Linked DNA regions of Caenorhabditis elegans. The protein of the gene in region 1 purifies or fractionates together with the protein of each later gene. This does not show direct contact. Each region holds a gene or a part of one and is shown in the gene's direction. Other genes may lie near its edges. The genes, in order: dat-1 and unc-64.

The links.
Region 2: the proteins of dat-1 (region 1) and unc-64 purify together in Caenorhabditis elegans (affinity purification with western blotting, with the first as the bait; one study listed by BioGRID). This does not show direct contact.

What each region holds. Positions count from the first base shown.
Region 1 is NC_003281.10:9,237,754-9,252,325, forward strand, and holds dat-1 (Sodium-dependent dopamine transporter), read left to right. Parts: upstream 1-5,221; coding exon 5,222-5,240; intron 5,241-5,616; coding exon 5,617-5,735; intron 5,736-5,783; coding exon 5,784-6,103; intron 6,104-6,418; coding exon 6,419-6,568; intron 6,569-6,619; coding exon 6,620-6,713; intron 6,714-6,762; coding exon 6,763-6,957; intron 6,958-7,001; coding exon 7,002-7,114; intron 7,115-7,161; coding exon 7,162-7,399; intron 7,400-7,441; coding exon 7,442-7,570; intron 7,571-7,614; coding exon 7,615-7,714; intron 7,715-7,755; coding exon 7,756-7,856; intron 7,857-8,113; coding exon 8,114-8,284; intron 8,285-8,724; coding exon 8,725-8,823; 3' UTR 8,824-9,049; downstream 9,050-14,572. Other genes in the region: saeg-2 (Suppressor of activated egl-4 protein 2), read left to right, coding at 2,669-2,740, 2,932-3,015, 3,062-3,319, 3,550-3,804, 3,854-3,975, 4,317-4,443; putative RING finger protein T02C1.1, read left to right, coding at 9,891-9,941, 10,284-10,399, 10,442-10,619, 10,679-10,816; T02C1.2 (RING-type E3 ubiquitin transferase), read left to right, coding at 13,291-13,559, 14,044-14,101, 14,158-14,273, 14,496-14,572. UniProt on the Caenorhabditis elegans protein: Dopamine transporter. Terminates the action of dopamine by its high affinity sodium-dependent reuptake into presynaptic terminals. Plays a role in the learned avoidance behavior of animals exposed to food that induces mitochondrial stress.
Region 2 is NC_003281.10:13,275,293-13,291,502, forward strand, and holds unc-64 (Syntaxin-1A homolog), read left to right. Parts: upstream 1-1,966; 5' UTR 1,967-2,076; coding exon 2,077-2,090; intron 2,091-2,135; coding exon 2,136-2,235; intron 2,236-3,274; coding exon 3,275-3,374; intron 3,375-3,942; coding exon 3,943-4,197; intron 4,198-4,580; coding exon 4,581-4,675; intron 4,676-4,924; coding exon 4,925-5,041; intron 5,042-5,254; coding exon 5,255-5,365; intron 5,366-6,931; coding exon of another isoform or gene 6,932-7,015; exon of another isoform or gene 7,016-7,048; intron 7,049-8,494; coding exon 8,495-8,578; 3' UTR 8,579-8,595; downstream 8,596-16,210. Other genes in the region: Histone-lysine N-methyltransferase set-25, read right to left, coding at 9,174-9,216, 11,666-11,863, 12,952-13,388, 13,744-13,899, 14,204-14,593, 15,740-16,013; F56A8.8 (NR LBD domain-containing protein), read left to right, coding at 10,525-11,130, 11,186-11,284. UniProt on the Caenorhabditis elegans protein: Plays a critical role in several secretory processes, including cuticle secretion and neurotransmitter release, and probably assists in neuronal membrane maturation or the final stages of neuronal differentiation.

The sequences.
Region 1 (14,572 bases):
TTATCAGTTTCAAATTCAATACAACCCATCAGTCTATTTCTATCAGAGAGTGACCAACGTTACTGATAAATAGAATACGACTGTTTTGGCTTGAAAAGTCTGTTAGATTGTTTCAAATGAAGTGTCAAAAGAACCAATAAAGCATGGTCAGTGAGTGTTGATCGGCAAAAAATGGAGCTGAAGTGTAAGTAAACTTCAAAGTCATGTGGGTGTAAAAAAGAAGGAATTCGAATTTCAACGGACCGGAAAACATCGATATGTGCCATTTTCATTTTTTTTATTTCCTGGTTTTCGTTCAATTTTATGCTTTAGGCTGCTGAGTCCCACAAAAACACTTTTTTTGTAGAAAAGAATGCAACAATAATTTGTGCGAAGATTGCATGGAAGAAAGGAAAAAAAGCAACACAAAAAATAGAAGAGGAATGCAAGGCAGTTGCCGTCAACTTGACGGGCGGGAGGGAAAATGCAAGAACGACAGGGCAGGAGGGTCTTGAAATGGCACTTTGTGTATATATTAGAAACGGGGAATTCTGGAGGAGGAGAAGCACAAAATGAGCACAGGAAGGAAGGAGAGAACAGAGCAAGACGAGTCTTTCAAAGGAGAAGAGGGCCTAATTTCAATGAGCTGCGCTTGGTCAAAGACTTCTCGAAAATCAATGCAGACAGAGGGAAAGAGAGAGAGAGAGAGAGCGAGTGAAGAACAGGTGCTAGGCTTCATATCTAGAGCTGATAGTGTGAACTTATGTTTTCAGTGATGCATTTGAAAAATTCATACACAATTTCAGTTTTTTTTGAGTCTCTAAATTATTTTTTCCAGATTCTAACCAATATTTTAAATAAAACTGAGTTTTTCCACAATAATAATTAAAACACTACAGACCTCTACAGAAAACTACAATCAAGTGATCATAATAGGATCATGCTCCCCCACAAATTAGATGAACACAGAGCACAAAAATAAGAAAAACAGCTATCCAGACAGGCAGACATATCGGTCACACGAAGGGACAAAGAAGGGAAGAAAAGTATTCGTGAGCACAAACAACAACCCATCACTTTGTTTGTGCAAAATAAAGACCTAGTGAAACTGCTTCCACGAAAGCGACTGCCGTCTTGAATTGCGAAGGACCCACCCGCGGCGGTTCTCATTGTTTTTTGGAGCAACTAGAATTCGAAATGAACGGAACCGAAGATGAAAATAATAATTTGAAAAGATCGATGAGAAAGAGGGTTTTCCATCGCGGCTTTGAGACAGACAGCGATCATTGAAAATGGATATTTGTAGTGCAAACTCCTTGCGCGCCAACACAACAGCTAGCGTGGTGAACAAATCGGAGGAGTGTGTGAAATGTTTTGGAAATATTCAGAGACATATTGATGTTTATAAATTTGATTATTTCTCGAGCGCTAGAGAAAATCTTGATTTCAGAAATGATGCTGGTTGACACAAACGCCAAATGGCAACAGCTGAACTCTACTGGAAAAAAGCCTAGCTATGACGCAAATGGTTTTCAAGAATATCCAGGTACGCTTCGAGAGATATCACCATGGCATGCTCATATTATAGGTTAAGAACAAAGACGGCCTTTCTGAATATGACATGAGGAAGAGGAGGAGAAAATTTTATATACACTCAATAAATCAGATTTATACTAATTTAGTCCGTTCAAACTAAACATTTTTATTCTAGACAGCTTCACATCAGCAGATATAAGAAGTAAAAAATTTGAAACAATTTAAATAGGTATAATCAGAATCAATGTCTTGACTCACTATTACGCTAACATAGGAATTAAATATTACTCCGACGCAAAATTTCCGTAATTTTGCGTTAAAAATACGGTATCCGGTCTCGGCACGAAATATGTTGTTAAATACAAGAATGTGCGCGCCTTTAAAGAGTACCGTTCTTTTAGCGTAAGAAACGCAAGATTTCGAGTATGGACAATATCAAAACTGGATGACAAATTAAAGAATGATCGCTTTCGTTTTCGAAGAACAGATTTTTAAACTTTTTTCACAACTTTAATACTATTTGACAAAGATAGAATCGAAAATACGCAACACGGAAGAATATAACAAATGACACAAAAACAGAACCGTCGAACTGATTACTGTGTGATTGATTGGTTTAGTGCGAACAAGTGTTTGTCCAAATGTTCCAACCGGATCGCCGATTTGTCTCTTTCCTCTCACCACGAAATAGAAAAACAAACATTAGGTTTATCAAAACTGACCAATGTCTTTGATCTTATCAAGCTACTACTCTCAATCTACCACCTTCGGAGAAAAGTGAACATAGGAAATGGAAGAAGAGGGAGCATGGACATCATAACTAGTAGAGAAAAAAGCGAAACAAAAACCACAAACTCTGTGCGATGGGCAAAACCAACGGAGAAGTGAGTTGAGAGAAGGCAGGGAGAGCGTGTCAGGGAGAGAGTATGAGGAAAACATGCCGCCTGGAGAGTCGCAGAGAGTGCTGCGTCTTTTCTGCGTCTATCCAAAAGACGATAGTATTTTCCAGCCAGCTAGCATGACTGCCACTTTTATTTCCTCTTCTCTTTTTTCTACGTAGTCACCCATATACACTCAAATCTTAAAATTTAAATTTTCAGCACTGAAAATGTTCGAACGGCAAACTGGAAATGGGAATGGCAACAAAATGAATATGAGGATAGTGATTCTCGATGAATTGTTGAGCAGAGAAATGGATGGAAGCAACGATGGATCGTCAGCAAGAGTTAGTTCTTTTTAAAAATTGTGAACAGTGTTGGATGATGCATTATGACAATCAACTGATTTAATTTAAACATTGCCCTGCAAAAAGTGTGAATTTTAATCGAGTTTTTTGTGGAGGATGAAAAAGAGTTAAATTTTGCTAAAAAAGCAACAAAAAACTCACACCGGAAAAAGAAATTGGGAAAATTTCAGGTAAATTCATTGAAGCACGTGATAAAAAGGAACAAAATGGATATGGCAGACGATGCACCATCTTCGTTGGATCTAATGAGACGGGTATGGACTGTTAATGTTTCAAGTAATTAAAATGAAAATTATTCAGATTTTCCAAGCGGAAATATCGAGAGAAATCCATCAGATTATGGAGAGGCATACTAGAACAACGCTATTACCAGCTATCGAAAATCTCCGCAAAAATGGGCATGTTGTTGACGAATCAGTTTTGAATGGTTTGTACTGTAACATTTTGGAGGCTGCAAAGAAGCCATATCAAAAAGATCCGGAGCCTATGCCACCGATTTGTACAAATGGAAATGGGTTCCTTGATATCAACAGTCAAGAACATGAGAATAATTTAAAGGTAATTCAAATCTCAAATCGAATAAAGAATGAAAAACTATATTTTTCAATTCTAGAAAATATCTGGAAAATTTTCGCCGACTGTTTTCAAAAAAGGACCTTTCAAAACTATTTTAATAGATACAACGGAAGTAATTAAAGCAAATTTTGGCGACGATTTCAAAACTTTAATCACTACGGCGTGGTTAAAAAATACAAAACAAAGTATATCAAAAATGCTGATATTTTCAGAGAGGATACGAATCGGATAGCTCAGACGTGTCTGGAGTCAGCCACTGCTCCGATGCTAAAAGACGACGAGGTCGTCCACGTAAAGATGAAGAAGCATATCGACTAGAAATGACGCCACCGACAATGAACGAAGTCATTCGGTGGAATCCGGACAGAATCGATGTGAACACCCGTTTTATAACGGCGACAAAAATTGCGCAAGTGATGGGAATGCCCCCGTCGATTCTGTTCAACAAGTATCCACGAATGTTTAGAGTAAGTAACTGGAAATCGGCAATTTTCAAAAACTGTTCTACCGTTTTAGTATTCCTGCGATGAAGATGACAAAAATATTCTACATGAGCAAAATCTTCTCATCAGGGCACCCGGTAGATGCTATCTTCTGGTTGCAGAAGATGCTCGTCAGCTAGTTCCCTCCACTTACTTGTAAGTTTTTTCTACAAATTTAAAAGAGAAAACCAAAGAAAAATATAAAGGAAATGATTATCCTACTCCAACAAAACTCTCCGAAAAATAATTATTGCTCTAAATCGCATCGCGCTTCGCCGAGCAGCACTTCCCTCACCTACCGATCAAAAATAACAGATTACAACGAAACAGGTAGAAAAGAAGTAGAAAATATCTAGAAATGAGAGAAAAATTGGTTGATAATAAAAAAAAGTCCGTAAAAAGATAGCAATTAAAATTAGAGCGATTGTCCACGAGAAAATTGTGAGAATATTCAGAGAGTTCTATAAATTTTTGAAAATTTAGCATTTTTATTTCAGCCAAGATGTCCTCAACGTCTCATTCCTCATCTCCGAGCCACTGCTATCAAAAATTCGCCAAAAAGCGGCATCAACCTACGAGAAGTACAAAGTCTTTCTGCCCACACAACCGAATAATTATCTCTGAAATGTTTCTAGTCGTTTTTGTATTTTAAAGCACATTCCCAATTCTGAATACTTTTCTGAAATCCATGAAATGGAACTTGAATCCAGTTTTCACTAAAACGACCTCATACACTTTCTCTCGTATCCTCAAAATATCTATGACATTATCATTAGCTTCGCTAGTTTCATTTCTTTCAAATATTATGCATTCTTAAATTCCGATACCCGCGTGCAAAAGTGCTCTATTGAGCAACTTTGGGATCATATGTACACACCAATGCCCTTTTCCCAAATCTTTTCCTGTCCTTTTCTCTAAAAACAATAAATCCATGCCTATTCCAGTATGACCCCTTTGAAGCAGATATAATCGCACAAACATATACACATAGCTCGGATAAATGTAGAAAAAGAAGAAAAGAAGTATAAGTAGATAGATGCTTTCCGGCAATTATCCACCGCACCGTAGTCTTCACCAACTGAGACTGCGTCGTTAGGAGACGCCGACATGATTCAGAAGCAGAATTTGGAAGAAAAACGACGATGATATTGAGGCTGGCACACATACACCGGAATATTCGACATGCCACCACATCTAGATTCCAAGGCAATCTCTACCTCTTCCCATTCTTTCGGTTTTTTTGTTCTGACAAGAAAAGTGGATAGCTACGGGCTCAATGAGCTGATTTTATTTTTAAATATCTTAAAACTATACTAGATTCATGTGTTTTCAGGTCCATATTCCAAATTAGTCGAAAAGCTGATCCCGCTACGGTTTACTCGAATCTCAACAATTTTTAGCCATGCAGTTGGTGCCTACAGGTATTTCGTTTTTTGCCCGACTCTTATTTATCTGTAGACTTTCGTTATAAAACAAAGCTATCTTTCTGAAATTGTTATTACGTAGACGCCTCAAGATGAGAATCTTCGCCAAATCTTACGCACATGGGTCTCGCCACGCAAACAAAGAATATGATACAATAGCGGTCTGCAAATTGACATGAGTTACAGTAATTCGTTCTCCGCGTGGCGAGACCCGCGGCTAAAGTTCTCATCCTTAGAGACCAACGTAACACTCTGGGTATAGTATAACTTACCATTAAAATTTTTTTTTAAGTTTTATAATTCTTCACAGGGTTTAACATTAGATTAAAAATTAGTCGGTGACTTCTAACTAAAGTTAAAATCAAATCTTCAGACGATCCCGACGAAAAAATCGGTCGGACGTCTAATGGCATGCAAAATGCAACTCTTCCTATTGATGGACCAGTTAATACAGAACCCAAAGATCCAGCAAGAGAACAGTGGTCTGGAAAGGTAAGATCCATCTTGCCTGTAATTCTACATATGAACCCATCTTTTCAGCTGGACTTCCTTCTCTCAGTTGTCGGGTTTGCTGTAGATTTGGGAAATATATGGCGATTTCCATATCTTTGCTTCAAAAATGGAGGAGGAGTATTTCTGATTCCTTATTCTATAATGGTCCTGTTGACAGGAGTTCCACTATTCTACATGGAGTTGTGCCTCGGCCAGTATTATAGAAAAGGAGCAATCACAACTTGGGGAAGAATATGTCCGTTGTTCAAAGGAATCGGATATTGTGTTATTTTAACCGCATTCTATGTGGATTTCTTTTATAATGTGATCCTTGCCTGGGGGCTTCATTATTTATATACTTCATTCAGGTGAGGACAAAATATGCTTATTTTAGGTATTATAAAGACATAGTAAAACCAAATAATTTTTAAATCTTATAAATTTTTACCGCCATAATTTGGAAAACTATTGCAATTAATGTCAAAAATCTTGTCTAAGTCTACCAAAAATGACTAAAGTTCTACAAAGCCTCTGGTAAAATTTCAAGAAAAAAATTACAGTTTTTTTAAAACTTGATACTAATTATTTTTAGATATCTATTCGGATATCTTGCCAATGCTATACCAGAAAAATTTTAAAAACCACCATTCCTTTTAATTTTGCCATATTCACTTTATTTTCAGTTTTAACCTGCCATGGGCATCCTGTAACAACAGTTATAACTCTCCTGCTTGTTACGAACCACACTGGTCAGAAGACGGAACAGCAATGTGTCGAAGTGCAAATCAATCTGTCTCAGCTGAAAAGATTTCAGCTGCTGAAGAATACTTTTAGTAATTTCTAAACTTTTTTGATAATTTCTAAAAAAAATATATATGTTTCAGTAAGGGATTTCTGGGGCTCCATGAAGCAAATGCACCGAACTCTCACGTTATTCGAAGTGTCACCGATCTGGGAAATGTACGTTGGGACATTGCTGTAAGTATACAAAAATTAATGAATGAAATTTGAAAATTCTAATTTAAAGCTTTCCCTCTTCGTTGTGTATCTCATTTGCTACTTTTCAATGTGGAAAGGAATCCATACTTCTGGAAAAGTTGTCTGGTTTACTGCTCTATTTCCATATGTTGTACTGGGAATTCTATTCATTCGTGGAGTGACTCTACCCGGATGGCAAAACGGAATCGAATATTATCTTCGACCCAACTTTGAAATGCTCAAGGTTTCGAGTTTCAGATAGAAAAATTCAAATTTCAAGCTTTGTAGAGACCATCGGTCTGGCAAGATGCTGCCACGCAAGTATTTTTCTCATTAGGGCCAGGATTCGGAGTTCTCATGGCATACTCGTCATATAATGATTTCCATAATAATGTATATGTGTAAGTTTTGGAATTTTTGAATTACAATTTTTTTGAAATTTTTACAGGGATGCTCTTTTCACATCATTCATCAATTGTGCAACATCATTTCTCTCAGGGTTTGTGATTTTCTCCGTACTCGGCTACATGTCCTGCAAATCTGGAAAACCAATTGAAGCAGTTGCTCAAGAAGGCCCTGGACTAGTATTTGTAGTCTATCCAGAAGCACTCTCAACAATGCCATATGCTCCATTCTGGTCTGTGCTCTTTTTCTTAATGCTCATGACACTTGGCCTTGATTCTTCAGTAAGTCTGAATCGTAAGAAAACCTATAGCAGATTATTTTAGTTCGGAGGATCTGAAGCTATCATCACCGGCCTTTCAGATGAATTTCCAATATTGAAAAAGAACAGAGAAGTGTTCGTTGGTTGTTTGTTTGCTTTTTACATGGTAATTGGAATTGCTATGTGTACAGAGGTAACCTTTTCACCGAAAACTATCTTCATCAAAAATTTTTGAAGGGTGGAATTCTAATCATGGAATGGCTCATCATCTATGGAACTACATGGGGCTTATTGATTGCAGTGTTCTGTGAAGCAATGGTCATTGCATACATCTACGGTAGGTGTGCTCTGAATCTCAAAATTTCCAAAATTTCACAGGTCTGCGACAATTTGTTCATGACGTCAAAGAGATGATGGGATTCCGCCCGGGAAATTATTGGAAGTTTTGCTGGAGCTGTGCCGCACCATTCATTTTATTGGTAAGAGTCTGGTTTTTGGCGCCAACTGCGTTGGCCCAAACTTTTCAAGTGTCGTTTTGAATTTGCACCAGAACTTGACAAAAAATGGATCACACTTGATTCAAACTTGGCGCTTTTAACAACATTTGCACTCACAAACTTTTTATTAAAAAATAAATTTTACATCTTTTCCAATAGGAAGGTGTGGCAATTTTCTATATGTAGCGGAAAAAGTATTTACAACATCATCCAACATGACCAAATTACCAATATTCCAGTCGATGATCACTTCCAACTTCATCAATTATCAAGCCTTGACCTACCAGGACTACACATACCCAACCGCGGCAAACGTTATAGGAATTATTTTTGCGCTCTCAGGCGCCTCATTTATTCCATTGGTAGGAATCTACAAATTCGTCAATGCGAGGGGGAACACGATATCTGAGGTCAGTGATTAAAACAATAATTGGGTTGAGATCAGGTTCGAACTGTATTAGTCATATACCTAAAATCTGTGAATTCGATTTCGGAATATGCCATATGTTATAAGTTGGATTTTTTAAAATTTATTGGTAATGTCAACCATTCCGAGCAGAAATCAGTCTCGAAAGCGTAGGATAGAATGAAATAGTTAGATATGAAGCACTGTTTTGGTCTTACTTTCTGGCAAAATTTTGCAACTCTCTCCCAGAATTTTGAAAATTTCTGCAAAAAAAATTTCAGCGTACTGACAAAGCTGTCTACCAAATTTCTGCAACGTTTTGCAACTAAACTCCAAAACAAAGTTGACAACGAACACCGTTCTCTCAATTGGAACATTTTAATACTAAAATATATTAACTAATACATTTCAAACACACTTAAAGCTTGTGTATTTTTTTTTCAGAAATGGCAACGAGTCACAATGCCTTATCGAAAAAGGCCGAATCAAACAGAATATATTCCAATTCCAACCACTCAACCGCACTCTGACATAATGCTATGAACATAGGTGTCTTCCACTTTCATTATCCTAGTTTCACTCGTTTACACTTTCATATTACACCACCACTTTCCTTCCTTTAGTTCTCTCTGATATCCTCTTCTGTTCCTTTTCTCTTTGATCTTTTTTTTTTCATCTCTATTTACACTTTTAAATATTTATCTTTTCTCTTTTTTCTAAATTTCATTTACAATAAAGTTACCCGCCTAATAAAGTTCTCTAAAACTACATCCCAAACAACTTAACTTGGAAAAAAGATGTACAGTAACCGGTTATTCCGTGTTTTGTCGTTCTTTTTTCAGACATCTCATTACACCTCAAACCCGCTATTCTAGTTGTAATTGTCTGACATTTTGCCCATTAAGATTTTGATTGAAACGTTGGCACGGTCCTAGGAATCATTGGTTCTTTGTAAAGATCAAAGATATCGAGAAAAATTTCACATTCGGTAGGTAAAGACTTCCAGTTTTAGTGTAATTATTTGTTTGCTACATTAACAAAACATTTCAAAAAAGAAAATCATATTAGTTTTTTTAAATTTGAAGTATTATAAGGAAATCGCTTTGACAGACATTTGAAATTCTCCGCAAAATGTTTGCAAAGCCCTGGCTAAAACTTGGTAACTTATTCAAGCTGTTATTGCAAACTGGCCCTTGAAATAAATTTGCCAAAATTAGTCATGAAGTTGCCTTAAATGATGATTTATTAAGTCAATCTTAACAAATTCCCAATATTCAATCACATTTTTTGTGTGACATTTTATTACCCATCTCATCTCGTTGACCCTTCTCTCATCTCTCCATCTGTCTATCTTATTCCAGGTGTTCTTTCTCTAGTCATTTCCCGCATTTGTTGCTCTGCACACTGACCAACCTGTCTGTGTTCTTCTTTCCCTCCCCTCTTCTCCTTTCGTTCTTACCTTCCGTTCAATGTGAATAATCAATTGTTCTAGGGTCCGGAACCAAAAAAAAAACAAATAATCGGTTTAGTACAAAAACTGATTTTATATAATTTGATTCAATTAGAAGATTTTCCTATAGATTAGTAAATCATCATTTCTGGTTATTACGATGCGTGACGAAGATTTTTGCTGTGCGGTTTGCTTGGATTTTTTTGTGGAGGTAAGTGCTTACTGTTTTTTTCTTAAACAATTAGAGTAGCACCGGAAGAAAATTAACAAAAATCATTTGAACGGTGCGGAGATTGCCTAAAGCTTCTCAAATATTGCTTGGAATGTTTCAGTCGGAATTTCGCCACTCAAAATTTTGAGTCGACCAAAATAAGTTTTTTTCCACGAATTTTGTATGTTATTTAATTATGTCTCAAATATACGTATTTGAACATTTTTTGGGCTTTAACATGCAATAATTATCTAAATTTCTTAAAAATCCTAATTTTCGAGAGTCTGGCAATCTACCAAAACCTTGACTGGAAATTTCAAGAAAGTATATTACATGTTCCAGCCTTGCATAATAGAATGTGGTCATTCTTATTGTCGATTTTGTATCGAAAGTCACCTGAATATCAATGAAAAGTGCCCACTGTGCAGAGCTCATACTGGAAATCCAATCAGAAATCGGTAAGTCGAAGACCATTTTCTTATAATAAATTATTATTTCAGACAACTCGAGTCATTAACAATGAGCTATGTGAGTTCTCGAAATATATCCACTGAATATTATGAACGAATGAAATCTTATCAAAAGAAACTATTGCTTCAAAATCGAGCACTTGTAATTATTTGGACTGAGTTGAATAAAAGGCCAGGACATTCTACGGAACTATGTAATCTAGTACGGGTGAGTTAACAAAATTAATGCTTTTTTCATAAAAGTTAAAAGTTTTACCATAAATTCAGAATGTACAAGATGAAGAACTGAAATCGGAGATTATGTGGCAAGTAAAGCAACAAGTTGGAGTAGGATTAGAACACACTGGAGACCTCCAAGAGGAGAACGTAACAATTCGATTAAAAAATTCTTCAAGTCAACAATAACCAAATCTGTATTTTTATGTAAATATTTGAATGAAATATTTGTACATTTATATCCATTGTCCACTTTTTGTTTACCAATCACCTACTCATCAATTTTTGTATGCACAAGGTTAGATAATTTACACTGATGATCTTAAAGTCCAGAGAGAATAGCTGTTAGAAAAAGACCTATTAAAATATAAAATCAGACTTGCGTTGAATGATTCTCGAATGTAATATTAACTTTGCTTGGCTTTTTATAATTTTAAAAGTCGATAAAACCGAAACAACAATACCAGTAATGAAAGAATCGTATGAACATATGAAATATACAAGACGCAAAATTGAAATATTGAGGAAAATAAAAAGTTACTTATACACTTATTCACTTAACTTCCTTCTAGACTGCCATATATCTTATCGTGAACTTGTACTTGGTTTGAAAAACTTAATTACTAGAACAAAAATTAAACTTCGTTCACTTAGAATTTGTAAAAAACGCCCCATATTTAGTCAAGGAGTTTGATATTTAATTGAAAATCTGTTTCAAATAGGTTCCAAATAATAAATCTTGGGGTTTTTATTCAAACCTTGAATTCAAGACTTTTTTCAATATTTTCAATGAGATCTGAGTCATTTGAAATTACAATCAAATGCGTAATAGTTGGAGATATCACATGAAAACTTGTCACGGTGCGCCGAGTTGTCATGGCATTATGCATAGCATAAGATAAAATGTTTATTTATTCTCAAAAGGTTATTCCATCCTGCTTCACAGACTGATTTTGAATTTTTGAAAAAATAGCGCTATTGAGTATTTTTCTCGAAATTCACATTCCTCAATCCCGCCGAAAACTTGACACTTCATAATTAATACATGAGCTTTAAATTTCCCGAAATACTTGAGTTTCCACACGAAAATAGTTCAAAACTAAACGTAAAAATTGAAAATACAAATAGGAAAAGTTCTGGTATAGAAAAACCCACGGAGCTCTTCCATTGCATGAATAAACATTTTCATTACCAAAAAGTGGGCGAGACATTGCATGCATACTGCATATTCAATGTGTATCCACAAAGCCCATATTAATTTATGTTCTTTTTTACATTTTTTGTCGTTTCGTCATATATTTTTGTTTCATTTTCAGAAAAGAAAAATCGGAAATGTTTTACAGAAACTGGGAGTCCTTTTAGGAAATTGCCGAATGTCATCATATCATATATTTTTTTTCTCATCAACTTTTCTTGGAAATCATTTGTATCATCTGACCTCGGACATGTTCCAATCTGGTCACCTTATCATTCACATTTCTTACCTCATCTCATTTGTATTCCTCATTTTGCTCTTAATTTTCAAGCCAAGAAATAGTGAATAAACAAATAAATAAATTCATTTGCCCCATTTTTGTAGTAGGTTTAATTTGCGTTCTGAACTTTAAAATCACCCCGTGATTTCGGCTTAAACATACAATTTTGCGGGCAATAAAAAATCAACTGTAGTTAGGTGAAATTAAAGTTTTAACTCCCTCAGCGTATTTTAATTTTTCTGGCTTCTCTGGTTCTCACGCTTCAGTAAAATAAAGTTTAGAATAACTCGAAAACAATTCAAAATTAAAAAAAAAACAAAATGTTGTGTAAGAACTGTTAATCAATGATTTTAATCGTTATTATTACTTTAAAAAATATTAAAAAAATTGTGAACGCGGTTACTAACTTTTCTTAACACATCTAAATTGTTTCATTAAAGAAACAATTTTATTTGAAATGCTACCGTATTTGTCTGAATGTAAACAATTGAAAATAATAATCATTTGAGTATTGTGTTCACCTCACTACTAGAATTTACTTCCCGAACACCAGTTAAAATTTTCACCTTATTTTCAGACTCGGGCGTAAATTTGTTTTTGAAATTAAATGTAGTGAGATAATTTGCTTGAAATCATTTTAAGAAAATATTTTTTTGGTCATACTTAGTTGAGAATTTGGTAAAACTTTGATTAAACGTTACAGAAGCCTGAAAGTCGAGCAGGAAGTTGGCTGTAAATGACAATCTGGAAACAATATTCTTCGACTTAAAACTGAATAGTTTCAAAAATGACTGAGGCAAAAAACTAATTTCTGTAAGAAGAACAAGCTTCACCCTATACTCTAACCATTCCCTTTTTATCGAACAAATAATATTCGCATCTGCTCATTGCATGCAGGTGTCCTTTTTCCCTTCTCTGTCTATTCCTCTCATACCAACCGACAGAATCGTTAACCAAACCAGCCTTTCTCTTTCATTCTTCATTTTTGGTACCAATAATTTGATTTGTATTCACATTTTGTCTTTTTCTATATTTCACTTTACAGTAGATCACGGGTGTACTATAATTCTTGTTAAAATAATAATTTTCAGAAAACCCTCAATTGTTTCTTCAAATTGTTTTTAAAAACTCTTTTGCTTACCAGAGTATTTTATTCATATTTTCCAATTCCAGGAGGACCACAAAAATATGCCATGGTGTCATCCAAGATTTGCGCCGATAGTCTACATACTCTTCTTCTACGCGTTGTACATGCTTCTTGTATTGCCAATCACAGAACTGTTGGAATTTGTTCTCAGAGCATTTTTGGGCATTGAATCTAGAAGTCACTCTCAATGGTCACGTTGGATTTACGGATTTTGTTTGTTGACATTTCTTCCATGCTATGCAACAGTGTTCTTTATTAGTTGGAGAAAACATCGAGCGAAACCCTTGTTCACACCAAAATGGAAAAACAGGCATGCTTTTGAAGTTTCTAAAATTCAAATTTGTTTTTGCTGAATGTGTGATGAATAAAAAATATCATACAAATAATTTCGAAAATTATCATTCTAGATCACCAAAGTCCATTTTTTCAATCACACAGAATTCACAATATCAACTGATATTCCATTTTTAAGGCAGAGATAGTATTTTTTCAGAGTAGAAATCGCTTTAGGTCGCCTCTGCTCAATTTTCCAAATATCATAGCAATAAATGAAAAACGATTTAAGTTTTTTACTTACCTTTGGAAGATGTTGAAAACTCTGTTCTCAACTATTATGAGACTGGAAAATCCTGCAGAGTTTACTGAAAAATTTGGCAATGAACCAGAATTTTGGATCATTTTATTATGATTTTCGGTAATGTCTGAAAGTGATCCTCACTGACGATACTCCATCTTCATTCAAAAATGAAAACAAAAATTAAAATCTCGATGTCTATAACCTAGAATAATTACAGTAATGATTTGGACGAAGACGATGTTTTGTGCACGATATGCTATGACATAATTGTTGAAGTATGTTTTAATAATATCTTCTCTGAATTTAAGTGTTCCAATTCACCCAATTTCAGCCCCACACACTTCGTTGTCAACACTCTTTTTGCAAAAAATGCATCGATCAATGCCTTCCTCTCACACGAAAATGCCCTTCCTGTCAGCAATGGGTTTATTGGAGCAGAAAAAATAAGTGAGCGTTTGGGTGAAGTATAAAATTGTTTCAAATGTTATCGATATAATTATTTCCATGTAAAATTCAAAATAATTGTCCTGAAGATAAAACGTTTTTAAGAAGTTTAGAAAGTTTCAGGAATTTAAATAAATTGCACATTGTATTTAGTATAATTAAATTGACAGCCCGTTTTTTACATTTTCAGTGAGACATGCAAAACTACAAAAACGTATTTTGCAGAATATTCAAGGAGAAAGTATTGCGATGGGTCAAAGAAAAACAAAGGGAAGATGAGTATGAAGAAGTGATGCAGTTGA
Region 2 (16,210 bases), 4.0 Mb from region 1:
TAACTATACATTTTTGGGCTTTTTTTATTTTAATATTCAGTTTGGAAGTACTACAACTTTAAACTAAAAATATTTAACTTTAAAAAAATATACAGCATCAGTTTATGATGGCCAAATGCCATTTTCAAAAAGTTTTATGATTTTTGAAATTTGGAAGATTACCAGTTTTTGCCACTTTTTTGGAAGTCGTCGATCAGAAATTTAAACAAAAATTCCTTCGAATTTTATGGTCTATTTATGTTCTAAATATTAATATTCAAACATGAAATTTGTTCAGTTTTGTACCATAGGAGCCACTGGCGCTACTCCACCTTTAAAATTAAAAAAAAAACAAAGAGTGGCAAAAAACAGAAATTGCCACTTTTTGACTAAATAAGAAATTTTCAAAAAAAAATTCGAATTTTTTTACTATGAAATTTAATCATTTTGGCACCATAGGAGTCGTTTTTAACAACTTCCCCCACTGCCCTGATCAGATCCCTAATCCCACCAAATCATTCACCTCTCTGCTCCGTCTCACTCCTTAAAAAATGGTGGGATAAAAAAAAGAGTCGCAGAGAAAACCCGCGAAAAAAAATAGGGGTAAAGAGTCCCGCCCCTTGACACGCAAAAGCATGAAAATGGAGAGAGAGTGTGTGTGTGTGTGAGACGTCTAACTGTCTCGTCGCCTCTCCTTTCATCGTTTTGGCTCTTCCTTTTCTCTCTCTCGTGCTTTTCCCATATATATCGAACAGATGTGGTCTCTCTCTCTCTCTCTCTCTCTCTTTCACCGGGAAGAAGACGAGCTTTTCCCCCTCATCTCTTCTACTCTCTCTCTCTCTCTCTCTCGTCACTCAGTTTGCTCCTAAAACGGCTCCCCGAGACACACAACGCCTTCTATTCGGTGCTGCTCCCCCCGCGTCCACTCCCCTCCGCCTCACTTATTTTTTGCTCTTTTCCTTTTTTTTTCTTTGAATTCTCTATTCTGCCCTATTATCTTTTCAGTTTATATACAAGTAACCACGTTTTTATTTCTTTTTTTAGACTTGAAACTTACTTCAGTTACCCTCTGTCCTGTACAAAAAATTGTCAACTGAGAAAATATTTGTCATCTCTTTCTCTATTGTTTTGTTGTTATACATTAATTGATATATTTGAAATATGTAACCAAAAATATAAAATTTTAACGTAAAGTGCAAAAGGAAATACGGGTAATCTAATTAATTTTTTTTTTTGACTTTTCAAAACTTTTTTCCACTTTTTGAAAAAAACTACAACACTGTCATGTTCAAATGCCATAGTTAAACTTTTCAAAAAAATTTTGAGCATTTTTATTGTCAGCCAAAAAGTGGCAATTACTGACTTTTTGCCACTTTTATTTTAGAAAATAGCACTGCCGACCATTTATATTTGAAACATAAGTAAATCATAAAATTCGAAGGAACACTTTTTATATCGACAACTTCCAGATAAGTGGCAAAAACTGGTAATCTTCAAATTCCCAATAAATCAAAAAATTTAGATTTTTTTCGAATTTTTTACTATAATTTTTCGAATTTTTTACTATAATATGAAATTTGGTCATCAAATGTACATTTTTCGAATATAAATGTTTTTTGTTTAAAGTTGTAGTATCGTCAAAAAAGGCCTAGTCTAGTCTATATTTTAGTTTGTTCAAAAAAAATTTCAGTCAAAGTTTTGGTAAATTGCCGAATTAAAACGTACACTAAAGTACGAAAATAATAGAAAAACATTAATTTTGGTCGACTTCCAAAATTTTTAACACCAGGTTTTGACCACTCGAAAAAAATTCCCCTTTTTTTGAAAATTGTTAGTATGAACTTTTTGTGCAATTTTTAACAATCTTCATTCTATATAATTTTTTTTAAGTTTTAATAATCTGATAATTTCTATTTAAAGTATATTTTTCCCATTTCTCCTTTTTAAACTTTTAATTCGATTTTTAAATTCTCATTTTTCCTTTTCCAGACTTTCCATCAAAATCTCTTTCTTGTCTCTTTCCATTCACATGACTTTTTGACAGTCCAACAATAGGAACCACTTTTCGTGTCGAGACCTGTCAACAGGAACAACAACATGACTAAGGACAGGTGAGTCAATATTCTTGAATCAAGATAATGATGCACAAATTTTAGATTGTCCGCTTTAAAAGCGGCGCAGTCCGAGGATGAGCAGGACGATGATATGCACATGGACACCGGGAATGCACAATATATGGAGGAGTTTTTTGAGCAGGTACTGTAGTGGAAAAATTGGTGTCGAAATAAACAAAAATTATGGTTCAACTTTTTGAAAAAATACATGTAAATTTTTTCATTCAAGTCCACTTTAATAATTTGAAGTCGGCCAAAAAAATGTTTTAAACTCAGATTTTTTTAAACTTCAACTTTATTTCAATTAATTGGATTGGAATTTTGTTAAGAAATTCTCGAAATGTTTTTTTTTGAATTCCACAATATCTGAAAATTTTTAAAAATAGTTGATAATTTTGAACTATTATATAACGAGAACACAACATTCTGAGAATGCGTATTGAGCAACATATTTGACGCTCAAAATATCTCGTAGCGAAGGCTACAGTAAGTCTTTAAAAGACTACTGTAGCACTGGTGTAGATTTACGGGCTCGGTTTCGAAATTTATCGATGAAACATTAAAAAAATTTTTACTTGTGAAACTAAAGAAAATAGCGCACGTAAATCGACACCAGCGCTACAGTAATCATTTAAAGAATTACTGTAGTTTTCGTTACGAGATATTTTGCGCGTCATATGTTGCGTCATATATGCGTGATATGTTGTGCAATACGCATTCTCAAAGCGATTTCCAAACTGTAAATATTTTAGAAATGGATTTTGAACTTCTCAAATTTTCAAAAAATTCTACTAGTTTGAAAAACAAAACAAATTCCAAAATGTTCGCAAATTCTATGACCAATCACACAAGCTGTTCAAATAGTTGAGAAACAAGAAAAAATGAAACTCAATTTTGTGATGTATTTCAGTGACGTCCCCCCCATATTTCGCAATCTTTTTTTTTGTTGCTCTCTTTTGTCAATTTGCCTCGATTTTTATATATGTGTCATTTCGGGTGTCTCTGTTTCCCATGAGGGGGCGATTGAATATTCATAGTTTTTGCGCAACCGACGGCGACCTTTTTTTCAATTCATAGAGATATATAGATTCTATGGAATTTTGTTCTAGGAGCTCTCTGTGGAAATAAAAATGTTTGGGGTTGATGAAAATGGAAACACTTTAGTTGAATTTTTTTTGCAGGTTGAAGAGATTCGTGGAAGTGTGGATATTATTGCGAATAATGTTGAAGAGGTCAAGAAGAAGCATTCGGCAATTTTATCAAATCCAGTTAACGATCAGAGTATGTTTTAAAAAACTGAACTTTTAGAAAATTGATTTTTCAGAAAAATAAAAATATCGAAAATTTTCGTTTTCCAGATCTTTCGAAAAAATACCTGTAAATGTTGGCTTTTTTTTTTCTTTAAAAAATTATTTTTTTAGGCTTGGCCTTAGGCTTAGGCTTAGGCTCAAGGTTAGGCTTACGCTTAGGCTCAGGTTTAGGACTAGGCTTAGGCTCAGGCCAAGGCTTAGGCTTTTAGAGTTAGGCTTAGGCTTAGGCTCGGCGAGGCTTCGTTTTAAATTCTCCAAGAAAAGATCTGGAAAACAATTTTAAAAAGTTAAAAAAAAGAAAATTTTCATTGTTTCGATTTTTTCGGAAACTAGCTTTGAATTGTGACTCTTTTTTTTCTTTCAGGAAAAATTTTGTGCGTGTTTTCTCAGTAAAATAAACAAAGTTAGATTGAATTTTTTTAAAACAGTTTCGTTAAAAAAATTTCGAAAATAAATTTTTTAAAAAATTGTTGAATGGATAAAACAAGGTTCAAAATATTGTACTTTTTGAGACCCCCAAAAATATGCCACAATTTCAGAAACCAAAGAAGAACTCGACGAGTTGATGGCAGTTATCAAAAGAGCTGCGAATAAAGTGCGCGGCAAACTGAAATTGATCGAAAATGCCATTGATCACGACGAGCAAGGAGCCGGAAATGCGGATCTTCGAATTCGAAAAACTCAACACAGCACATTATCGAGACGATTCGTCGAAGTGATGACTGATTATAATAAGACACAGACTGATTATCGAGAGAGGTGTAAGGGACGAATTCAGAGACAACTCGATATTGGTGAGCTTTTTTTAAAACATTTTTATGGAAATTTTGCGAAGCAAAAGTTGTTAAAGTAAAAAAATCTAGAATTTTGGAGCACACCTGAATCATGGTGCTCCCAATGTCTGCTACCTGCCTACAAGGCGGCTTACGCCTACGACATATATGTATACCTGTCATAGCGCAAGACGAACCCAGAGAACATCGGACGCTTCAAAAAAATTTTTGTCAGGCACACCGACTAGTCGAATTATAAGTATCGTAGGCAGGTAGGCAGGCAGACGTGTAGGCCTAACTGGGGCAGGACAAAATTTTTCCTGACATTCTGTGCCACTAAATTTTGGATCAGTTTTTAAAAAAATTCACACAAAATTCTAATAATCCATTACATATTTTTTCAGCTGGAAAACAAGTCGGAGATGAGGATTTGGAGGAAATGATTGAGAGCGGAAATCCGGGAGTATTTACACAAGGAATCATCACAGATACCCAACAGGTTTGTTTTTTTCTAATTTAAAATTTGAAACAAAAAATTGAAAATATTAACAAAAGTTATTCCAAATTCGTTTTTTTTTTTGGCTTAAGCTTAGGCTCAGGCTTAGGCTTAGGCTTAGTCTGAGGCTTAAGCTTAGACTTAAGCGTAAGCTTACGCTTACGCTTAACCTTGAGCGCGGGGAGGCGTCCTTCCAATTCTCCAAGAAAAATTCTGGAAAAAAACCCAAAAAATGTTAAATAATTTTTTTAGGCAAAACAAACGCTAGCCGATATTGAAGCTCGTCACAATGATATCATGAAATTGGAAAGTTCAATTCGAGAGCTTCACGACATGTTCATGGATATGGCTATGCTTGTCGAATCTCAGGTTTGTGGAATTTTTGATATTACAAGTTGAATTTTCAAAAAAAAATATAGGTTTTTTCTAACAAATTTCTTAATGTCTAGTCTAAGGTAAAATAGAAGAGGTACTTTCCAACCAATCAGCGTCTTCGAGTCCGCCCACCCCGCCTGATTGGTCGTGTAATTCTCAGCTTGGAGGAAATTCAAATAATTAAAGAAAAATCCTGAGCTTTTCCAGGGAGAGATGGTTGATCGAATTGAGTACAATGTGGAGCACGCGAAAGAATTTGTTGATCGAGCAGTAGCTGATACGAAGAAAGCCGTTCAATATCAGTCGAAGGCGCGAAGGGTTCGTTTTTTACGTTTTTGGAAAAATTTAATATTGTAACTCTATTTTGCATGGATATACCTATATTGAGTTTTTTATTCATCAAAATTGATAGAAAATGTGTCTGGCAGCTGGGAAAATGTGGGTTCTAAAATTCCCAGACACGAGAATTTTTATAAATTTATTAATACAAACGGGTGTGTGCCTTTAAAGAGTATTTTTATTTTCATCGACTTTTCATAGTTTTTCGGAAACTTTTTATTTTCGCACAACAGTTTTGCATTCAACAAAAAATTGTCGTGTCAAGACCAACACGGCCCGGTAAGCAAGTGGTACATCCATGCAAATGCGCTCTACTGATAATTTGAGTGTAGCCAGGTTTGGGCGCGTGATAACGAAAAAAGCTTTTGGTCCAAAAAAAAATTCGAATCTATTTTCGGACATTTTTATGCATCACAAAAATATTGGACCACCCGTTTTTGAGATAGATGCGCCCAAACGTCCAGGTATACGGTAGACAAATTGCGTACTCATACAGTTTGCCGGGCCGTGAGTAGGAACCGTATTTTTGGCACAAAAGTCGGGCAGGAAATGATTCAAACATCATACCTCACGCGCAACATTTTTTTATGAATTTGAAAGTTTATGAAATATTAGAAAGTATAATGATATGATCTACCATTTTTCAAGTTGCCGCCGCATTTTTTTTTCAAAAAAATATCGATTCAAAAATTGATTATTGTACTGTATTAGTGATTCGTGGTGTACATCTGTAATGTTCCAGATGAAATGCTATATATTTGTGTTAATTGTTGTCATTATTCTCGTCATCGTCATTGCTGTCGTCATTTGGGTTATTGTTGCGAATGCTTCAACTTCTGTTGTGTTACCCTCAAAAACCTCAAGCTCCTCCACATCGAACACGTCTTCTCAACGTTTTCGTGTTCGCTGAAAAATTGTCATTGATTTTTTTTTTCTTAAACCCTCTTGCTTTCAAAATTCGGGGAAAATATTAATATTGGTGACGGGAATTGAGTTCAATTTTTCAAATCAATTTCTCATATGGGGGCTTTAATTTATTATGTTTTAACTTACTTTGTGTTGTCTCACTCTCTCACTCAAGTCTTTGTATTACGGGAGCATAAAATTCTGAGAATGCGTATTGCACAACATATTTGACGCGCAAAATATAACTATATCTCGTAGTGAAAACTACAGTAATTCTCTAAATGACTACTGTCTTTTTTTTGCTTAATATTAGTATTCTATCGATAAATCTCTTCAGTTTAAAATCGAGCTCGTAAATCGACACCACAGTAGTCAGAAGTTTTCGCTACGAGATGTAGTTATATTTTGCGCGTCAAATATGTTGTGCAATACGCATTCTCAGAATTTTGTGTTCTTGCATTTTTTGGAAAGTTTGTTGTTAGTTCTCAGCAGAGCGTGTTTGCAGACCGTGGACCTCCTGTGATTGTATTTTTTATTGTGATTGTCATATATTGTCCTGTGATGTGTTTTTTTTTTCGTCGTATTTTTTGTCGTAAACCATAAATGTTTCTCTCTAACCTATTTGTCCATTATTTTCAGAAGAAGATCATCATTTTGATCGTCGTCACCATCCTAATCGGCTTCGTTTCTCTGTGGCTCATTCAGTATATTCCTGGCATTTAAGCCCATTTGTTTCCCCGTCTAAACGCCCACGCTAAAAAAATTTCAAAATTTCAAATTCTATATGACAACAAAAACGGCTCCAATAATGAACCAAATTCGCTTGTTTTCTCTGAAAATAAGGGCTAAATATATCTTTGTAATTAGAGCATTAGATTAAATAGAGCAAACTTTTATTATCAAAAATATTTAATTTATTTATTATTTAGTTTCTTTCAATCAGGTACTTTTTTCATAATTAATCAACTTATTTTGGAGAAAATACTATTTGAAAAATCAAAGTGCAAACCCGCTCCACGGCCAAACGTCCCGCCTTTATAAATTGGGTCTCGTTAGGTATTTAGCGCGGCAACATCAGGAAATTCAAACGTTTTCACCCAGTTTTTCGTTGTTTTAAATATTTTTGCTGTCAAAATAATTTTTTTAAAAATCAATAAAAGCAATAGAAAGTAATTGAAAATGTTTGAATTTTCGAATTTGCCGCGCCAACTTCCTCACGAGACCCATGGTTTCAGGGCGGAGCGTTCTCAATTAGCCGTGGAGTGCGCTTGCGTCAAGGTTATATTACCGAATCTTGGATTTTTGCGCCGAAGCAAGTCAAATACAGTACCGGGTCCCAACACGACAAAGTTGCGTGCCATACAGAAATGTGCTGCGCCTTTAAAGATTACTGTAGTTTAAAACTTGTTTTTTCGAGGAAAAAAATTTTTAACTTATTACGGGAACACAAAATTCTGAGAATGCGTATTGCGCATCATATTTGACGCGCAAAATATCTCGTAGCGCAAACTACAGTCATTTAAAGGATTACTGTAGTTTTCGCTACGAGATATTTTGCGCGTCAAATATTTTGCGGAATACGCATTCTCAGAAATTTCTGTTCCCGTAATACAGTAATCTTAAAGGCGCATACTTTTTCGCGTTTAACAAAAACACTTATCGTGTCGAGACCGGGCAAAAATCACTGTTGATTTATTATCATAAAAGTACCCGAATTCCCGAACAAATTAATATTATTTTTCTTTTAAAAAAAGCCTAATTATTTCGCAATACATCCTGTTTTTGTATCTCCACTGCCTTTTGACCCACTTTTCGCGCGCTTTTCACACGTAAATCTCACCCCCGTTCTCTTCGACCAAGCAATAGTTCTTTTTAATATAAAAATTAAATTTAAATTACAAATTATTTCATTATTTTTTAAAATTAGAATAATATCGATCTCAAAATGGAAGCTTAAATATTTATTAAAAATTGTTTTTTCTACAAATTTTCAAAACTTTAGGATCCTTCCAATTTCTTACTGTAAGAAATTTTAATTTTTTTTTCAATTTTTTTTGCCACCCATTTCATGTGTTTTCTGTTCACTCACCACCAACCAACCAAAAAATTAATTAATCAATCAATAATAATAACAATAATGAATTTCTGAATCGCTTTGAGATATTTTTTTTGTGCAATTTTCTTACTAAAGCTAAATTTCAGAAGAAGATTTGCATCCTTGTCACCGGCGTCATACTCATCACTGGCCTAATTATTTTTATTTTGTTTTATGCGAAAGTATTATAAATTTTTTCAAATCTCGACGAAAAGAAAAACTTAACCAAAATGAAAAAATTGAGCAAAAAATACAAGAAAATTGGGAAAAAAAGTTAATGAAAGACTTGAGGGAAAATTAATGAAATGTAGTGGACGAAAATTCCTGAAATAACTCGGGCGGAAAAATGATTGTTTAGAACGGAAAAATTGTAAAAAAGAAAAAAGTTAATGAAATGAGTGTGTTTGAGGGGGATAGAAACTTTACAAAAATGAGCAAAAAATGATTTTTTAGAACAGAAAAATTGTAAAAAAGAAAAAAAAAGGAAAAAAAAGTTAATGAAATGAGTGTGTTTGGGGGGAAAAGTGATATTTTCAGGAAATTCAATTTTCTTTTCAAATCTCAAAAAGAAAAATGAAAAACTTTACAAAAAAGAGAAAATGGGCAAAAATAACAAACTCGAGCGGAAAAAAAAATGAAAAAAATTAATGAAATGAGTGCAATTGAGGAAACATGAATAAAGTCGGAAGAAAAGGGGAGATCTTCAGGGAAAAAAGCAGAAAAAAAGATTAAAAAGTTAATTGTCATACAGTGAATTAAGAATGAAGATGTATAGGGGAGAAACTTTCAGAATGCAGGAAGGGTTCCCATGCACTTGGTCGATTTGCACCTGAAAATTTACAATTTTTAAATTATTTTTCAGCTTTCCAGAATTTTTTTTTCAAATTCAGATATTTTTTCGTACAATTTTTTTCTGATTTTCTCTGGAAATAGCGAAAAAAATATTCCATTATTTCAAAATTGAAAAATTATTTTCAAAAAAAAGTTGGACTTTTTTTTTCAATTCTTCGTCAAATTTTTTCGTAGTTCTTTTGTTTGTTGATATTTCTGAATTTCAGAATAATTTGAAAATATTTTGTAGGAAAATCCCAGTTCACTCCAGGAGTGGGCGGCAAACGATTTTTTTCGGCAAATCGGCAAATTGCCGGAATTGAAATTTCTGGCAAATCGACGAAATTGTCGGAATTGAAAACTTCTGGAAAATTGCCGGGATTGAAATTTTGGGTTAATTGCTGGAATTGAAATTACCGGAACATTGCCGGAGTTGGAAACTTTCGAATTGAAATTCCCGGTAAATCGAATTGAAATTCCCGGTAAATCGGCAAATTGCCGAAATTGAAATTTCTGGCAAATTGCCGGAATTGAAATTTCTGGCAAATCAGCGAAATTGCCGGAATCGAAAACTTCCGGCAAACTGCTGGAATTGAAATTACCGGCAAATTGTGGAGTTGAAAACTTCCGGTAAATCGGCAAATTGCCGAAATTGAAATTTCTGGCAAATTGCCGGAATTGAAATTTCTGGCAAATCGGCGAAATTGCCGGAGTTGAAAACTTCCGGCATATCGGAAAATTGCCGGGATTGAAATTTCTGATAAATCGGCGAAATTGCCGGAGTTGAAAACTTCCGGTAAATCGGCAAATTGCCGGGATTGAAATTTCTGGCAAATCGGCGAAATCGCCGGAATTGAAAACTTCCGGCAAACTGCTGGAATTGAAATTACCGGAAAATTGCCGGAGTTGAAAACTTCCGGCAAATCGGCCAATTACCGGGATTGAAATTTCCGGCAAATTGTGGAGTTGAAAACTTCCGGCAAATCGGCAAATTGCCGGAATTGAAATTTCCGGTTTTCAAAATTTCTGGCAATTGGAAATATCGGCAATTGCCGGTTTTGAGATTTTTTAGCAATAGGAATTTCCCGGTCTTCAAAAAAAAAATTGCTAAATGCTATCCACAACACCAGCCAAACCCCATTCTCATCGCATAGGGTCACCTATTTTCCCAGCGTTCCAAGTTCACATACGCCTAGCTCTACATATCCGCGTTTCCACTGAAATCGATCGGAAAAACGGCGCGTTCAGACAATCGTGAGCCTATGTCTACATGATATTCATTCATTCATTTTCTTTTTTCTTCATCATGTCAACCTCGTCATCTGTGTGCAACACTGACTCCACCACCTCCCCATGCTCTTCACCCGACTCGACTCCCATGTCGAGTCCTTCCAAGCCAAAGGTGAAATCTGATCGAGAAATTGCCAAACTGAAGAAGGACATTCACGTCTTTGCGAGAAAAATTAATGAAGAATGCGAGCGCTTCATCGATAATCATATAGAGGTTAACGGGGAGGAGGACGCCGTTAACCAGAGAATTCCGACCTTCTTCATCAAGAGCTACAACTTTTTGAAAAAAGAAGCAGAATCTGTGAGCTACGAGGATCGCTTTCTCGACTTCATCCCACAATGTATTCGAATGAAGGTGACCACCGAGCAATACGGACCCCCAAACTGTTTCCCCGAAGCCGACGAGAATGGATATCTCAAAGATGAGCCGAAACGTTTGGCGGACGAACTCGTTCAGTTCTACGTTGACGTCATCGAGTACGTTCGGTTTACGTTTGTCTGTACTGGAAAGATTCCGATCCTTCCACACTCGTACTACCTGACTCTCTTCGTTTATCAGAAGCGTGTCGAGGAAAGCACACTGTTCAACAAAAGTCTAGTGAGGATGATTCCAGAAGTCTTGGTAAGTCTCTATTGAATATATTACCTAATGATCTAATTCATGAAAAATTTTCCAGCAATCAATGCTCAATGTCGGAACATTCGGCAACCAAAATATTGGAATAGACTATGTTACAGACTGCACCAGAGAACACTACAAGTATTTGCTTGAGTAATCATTTTGTTGATAATAACAAAACGATTGTCACTATGAGACCTTAATTTTAAATTTCGATAATAAAGTTTTGCTTTCACTTTAGTGTTTTTGGTGTTTTTCTTGAGAATTTTTGAATCAAAAAATATAAAATACGATTTCTACAGAAAATCTGTCAACACTGACGCGGGAATTCAGTTTTTAATCACAGCTTGCTTAATTTAATAGATTTACTATGATTCGAATGTTTGTTAATTTCATGTCACTGCGAAACGAAAGAAATTGGAGATTTTAGCTAAAATTAGCCGTTTTTCAGAGAAATTGAACCGTCATAATTTTTTTTTTGGAACATTTTTGAGAATTTTCATCATATTGAGTATATTTTGAGCAATAGAAGGCTCACCGGCATTTGACACTCGACCGTTTCCACTCGATACCGGGCTCGTAGTATGCAATCGTTATCTCTTCTCCTAGAGCGATGTCCTTGATGGCATATACTGCAACACGTGGAATCAGTGGATCTTCTTCGAATCGTCGACTGTAGACTTCGACGAACACCGAGCTGGGGTCACAGCTGTGATTGATGAATCGGGAGATATTCCTGAAATAATTTTTTATTGCAAAAAAAAACGTGATTTTGGTTTACTCTAGAGGGGGAAGACTTCCATTTTTCCATCAGACTTCAAAACGAGAAATTGTCATTCGAGAGTATTCCCCATTTATTTTTGGATTTTTCGTTGGTTTTTCGGACAAAAACCAAAAAACTTTTTTTTTTGGTTTTTGAAGAAATTAAATTATTTGTGGTATCGGTTTTTCGATTTTTTATAAATCTAAATATCAAAAATGTTATTTAAAATAACTTATTTTTTCGTTTTCCAATATTTCGAAAATAATTACCATAAAATTTTGCACGGAATTCTGGCTTCCCTCATAAATCGAAATGGCAGAGTTTGCCGAACTAGCCATTTTGGGTCGGAGAGATTTTGTGTAGATTTACGGCGCGTTGTGTGTCGCGGCTCGTTTTTAGTTGTAAAACTGATTTATTTGTCCGTGTGGAGTACACGAAACTTTTCCACGCGTTGTCCGGCCTGGCGATGGTAAATGGAGCGCGAAAATTCAATGAGGAAAGCCAGAACCCCGTCATTTTGTAAATTTAAAGTCAAATTTTGTTTAATGTGATGGAAATAATAGAAACTTCTTCTACAAAAGAAGAAAATTGGCCAAAACTTTAAGAAAAATCAATTTTTTTTAAATGGAAATATCGGGAAAACGAAGCAAAAATACGATTTTTTTTTCGTTTTTTGGTCCAAAATCAAAACAATTTTCGTTTTTCGGTAAAAGCGAAAATTGAATTTTCAGCGTCCGGCACACATTTTTCGATTTTTTCGATGAAAATCGAAAAATCTAAAAAATGTTCCAAAAATCAACCATAAAACATGATTTTTCATCTAATTTTGTTTATATTGATAAGAAAAAACATTAAAATTTCTTCAGAAAAGAAGAATAATTGCCAAAAATTTAAGCTAATTTTTGAAAAACCGAAAAACGAAATTATTCGATTTTCGGAAAAAAAACGAAAAATCGAAAAACCGACACCCTTGGTGATTATTTTCGAATGGCACATATCTCGTGTTAAAGTCTGTGGAAAAATTAAAATCATCCACGACGGAAATTTTATGAACTACCAACCCAGTCTTCTTGGCACTGATAATGATCTTAGTATCCATCGCATTGAACGCAGCATCGTACGATGAGTCAACTCTCTCCGGGGCCTCTGGATTCTCTTGTTCCTCGCCATCATCCGTTTTCGTCGATGAACTTGCGACAGGATCCGACGTCGGCAGCAGTGTCACGTCTCCAGTGTATTCACACACTAGTTCTCCAGCCTTGATGTTTGCAGCAGCACGAACGCCGAACCCTTTTTCAGGCCCTTCATAGTAGACGGCGAGTGGATGCTGCTGTCCTCGTTGAAGCGATCTTCGTGGGCAATCCAGACTGCAGCCACACGCGTCCGAGCATTCCATCACGATTCGAGCATTGTCAATTTTGAAATCCGTGAAGTCAACTTTCCCGTCCGGTGTACACTCCAGATTGGTGACATCGTGGGGATCGTAGAGGAACATGAACTGAAAATTCAATTTTTATTTGGGGTTTTCTGAACAATTTTTGTTGTACTGTTGAAATAGATCCGTGAAAAAGAGCATCACACGGAAAACGAGGCGGAGCGTAATTTTGCAACCCTGCGGCACGGTTTTCTTTACGCTGTTTTTTACGGAGAGGCCCCACGAAAAGGGGAACCGGCACTGTGTCAAACGCACAAAGGATCATCGAGAAAAATTGCGTTTTGCGCGTTTGGCACAGTGCCAGATCCCCTTTTCCGCAGATTTCCATTTCGTTCTCCTTTCCCCTTTTCGTGGGGACTCTTCACGGATCGATCTTTCAACCTCGTCAGTAAGTTTCTTTTTGAAACATCAGCCGTACCCTAGCGTCGCATTTGCACTTCGTCCCATTCTCGCACGCTTTACTTCTCGTGGGCATCCATATTTTCTGGCCGGTCAAGTCGGCGAAACTCATATTAGCACGGCTTTCAAGACATCTTTTGTAAGCGTCCACGTCGACGATGTTGATTGCAGTGTACTGAAAAAAAGAAAATTTATTTCGGATTTTTTCGAGTTCCGAGAGTAAAAAGTTATGTTTGTCCAGAAAAAAAAAACAATTTTCTACAGTAGAAATTTGTTTTTTTGTTGCTATTTTTTGGGGGAAATAGATTTTGGGATTCAAAAAAAATCCAAAAAACTCATTTTCTGTGCTTCAAACAGTGGTTTTTAATGGTTTTCAATGGCTTTTTCGTCTAAAAAATTCAGAATAAATAGAAATTCGACAAAAGCCCCACTGAATCGCAGTTTTTTTTTTAAAAGCCTCCAAAAATTCGGATACTTACCGCGTAGCACGGTGGGCGAACGGATTGAGTGTATGACGAAATATAGAAAACGGGTGCCAATCCCAAATCCCTATTATCCATTGTGTGGAAGTAGCTGAGATCCTGATAGATCCAGAACACATTTTCTGGACTACTCTGTGGCACGGGCTCGATGAAAATCTGTTTCAGAGCCTCGTCGAGTGTCAATTCGATTCCGTTTTCTTGATTTTTCTCGACGACTAGCTTTGCTTCTTCTGCGGCGGCCGATTTCACGGTTTCGATGAACTTGTCTCGAATCGACATTTCTTCTAGAATCGTTGGCGCTGTTCTTGCACATTCTTCAACTGATAATCGGTGCAGAGTGAGGCACGTCCATCCTTCGTAGTAAATCAATATTTTGCCTTCTTCGCTCTGAAAAATACGAGAAATTTTTTATTAATTTTTTTAAAAGGTTTGCTGAAAATTTAAATTTGGTTAGAGTTAATTGAGAATTCGCCAAAATTAGCTTTGTAGATAGATGAAAAAGGTATTTTTGCACGCTCTCCTCGAAACCAAATAATTATTAGAGCGCGCTTGCTGCGCTTCCCGTTTTTGCATCCGCGGCATTTTGACTTTCCACTGAAAAAAAGCAGATATTTCAGATTTATCGAATTTTTTGCTTTTAAGATTTTTTTTCTGCATTTTACGAACAAACCTTCTGTTAAACAGTGAAAATCGAATTTAAAATGACTAAAATGAACTTTTTTCGTCCACTGGTTGTGAAATGGTTTGAATTTGAAGAAATCAACGGGATTTTTCTTATTTTCTAAATATTTTTCTATTAAAAATCGGTTTTAAACCATTTTTTGACCCAAATGTTAAGTTACAAATGTATTAAAACCGATTTTTAATAGAAAAATAATCAGAAAATAAGAAAAATCACCGTTTTTTTCAAATTCAAACCATTTCATAACCAGTGGACGAAAAAAGTTCATTTTAGTCATTTTAAATTCGATTTTCACTGTTTAACAGAAGGTTTGTTCGAAAAATGCAGAAAAAAAATGTTTAAAGCTAAAAATTCGATAAATCTGAAATATCTGCTTTTTTCAATGGAAAGTCAAAATACCGCGGATGCAGAAATGCGAAGCGCAGCAAGCGCGCTCTAATAATTATTCGGCTTTGAGGAGAGCGTGTTTTGGTGTATTTTTCAATTTTTTTTTATAAAGGAGATAATTATTTTTGAATTCCCGCGCAAATGAATTACCTAATTTTAAGATTTTTCGCGTTTTCCAGCTATATTAATCAAAATTCCTTGTTTTTCTTGTATAAATGAAGTAAAGCTCCATTCGGCAATTTTCCAAAGAGTTTTCCACAAAAAATATAACTTTGAACTTTAATTTTCTTTCGGAGTAGCCAGTTTTCTCACTGTCTAAAAATTGACAAATGGAGAATTTTTATTAATATAGCTGGAAAACGCGAAAATCTCAAAATTAGGTAATTTATTTGCGCGGGAATTTTAAAATAATTATCTCTTTTTTTTTTTAAATTTTAATAGTTTTCCTGAAAACTAATAATTACCCTGAATGCAGCTTGAGCTGGCCAGTTCGACGCGTGAGCGCCATACTTTGCCAGATCGCTTTTCGTGAACTTCTTCGTCGGAATCCCGGGGAATGCGATGCCTTTACGTGACCAAGATCCATGCCGTTGTGCTCTTCTCGCTTCGTTACAATTCTTATTGACACGAGACTTGTATGTAGAGACAACAGTGATGCGTTCATTGTTCGGATAGTTTCCAGGACCGAGCGGAAGAACGACGACCATGATCGGATTTTTCGCGATTTTCTCTACACGTCTGAAAAAAATTAATTGCTCCGTGAATTTTACAATAAGCAACGTCGCACAGAAAAAGAGGCGGGGACGTAATTACGCAACCCTACGGCACGGTTGGGATCTTACTTGTTTTTTCTCGTTTTTCGAATGAAAATGTTATCCAATCACGGTCTCCTGGAGTGTTCATAATTATTAGAGCGCGCTCGCGCGTCACCTCAC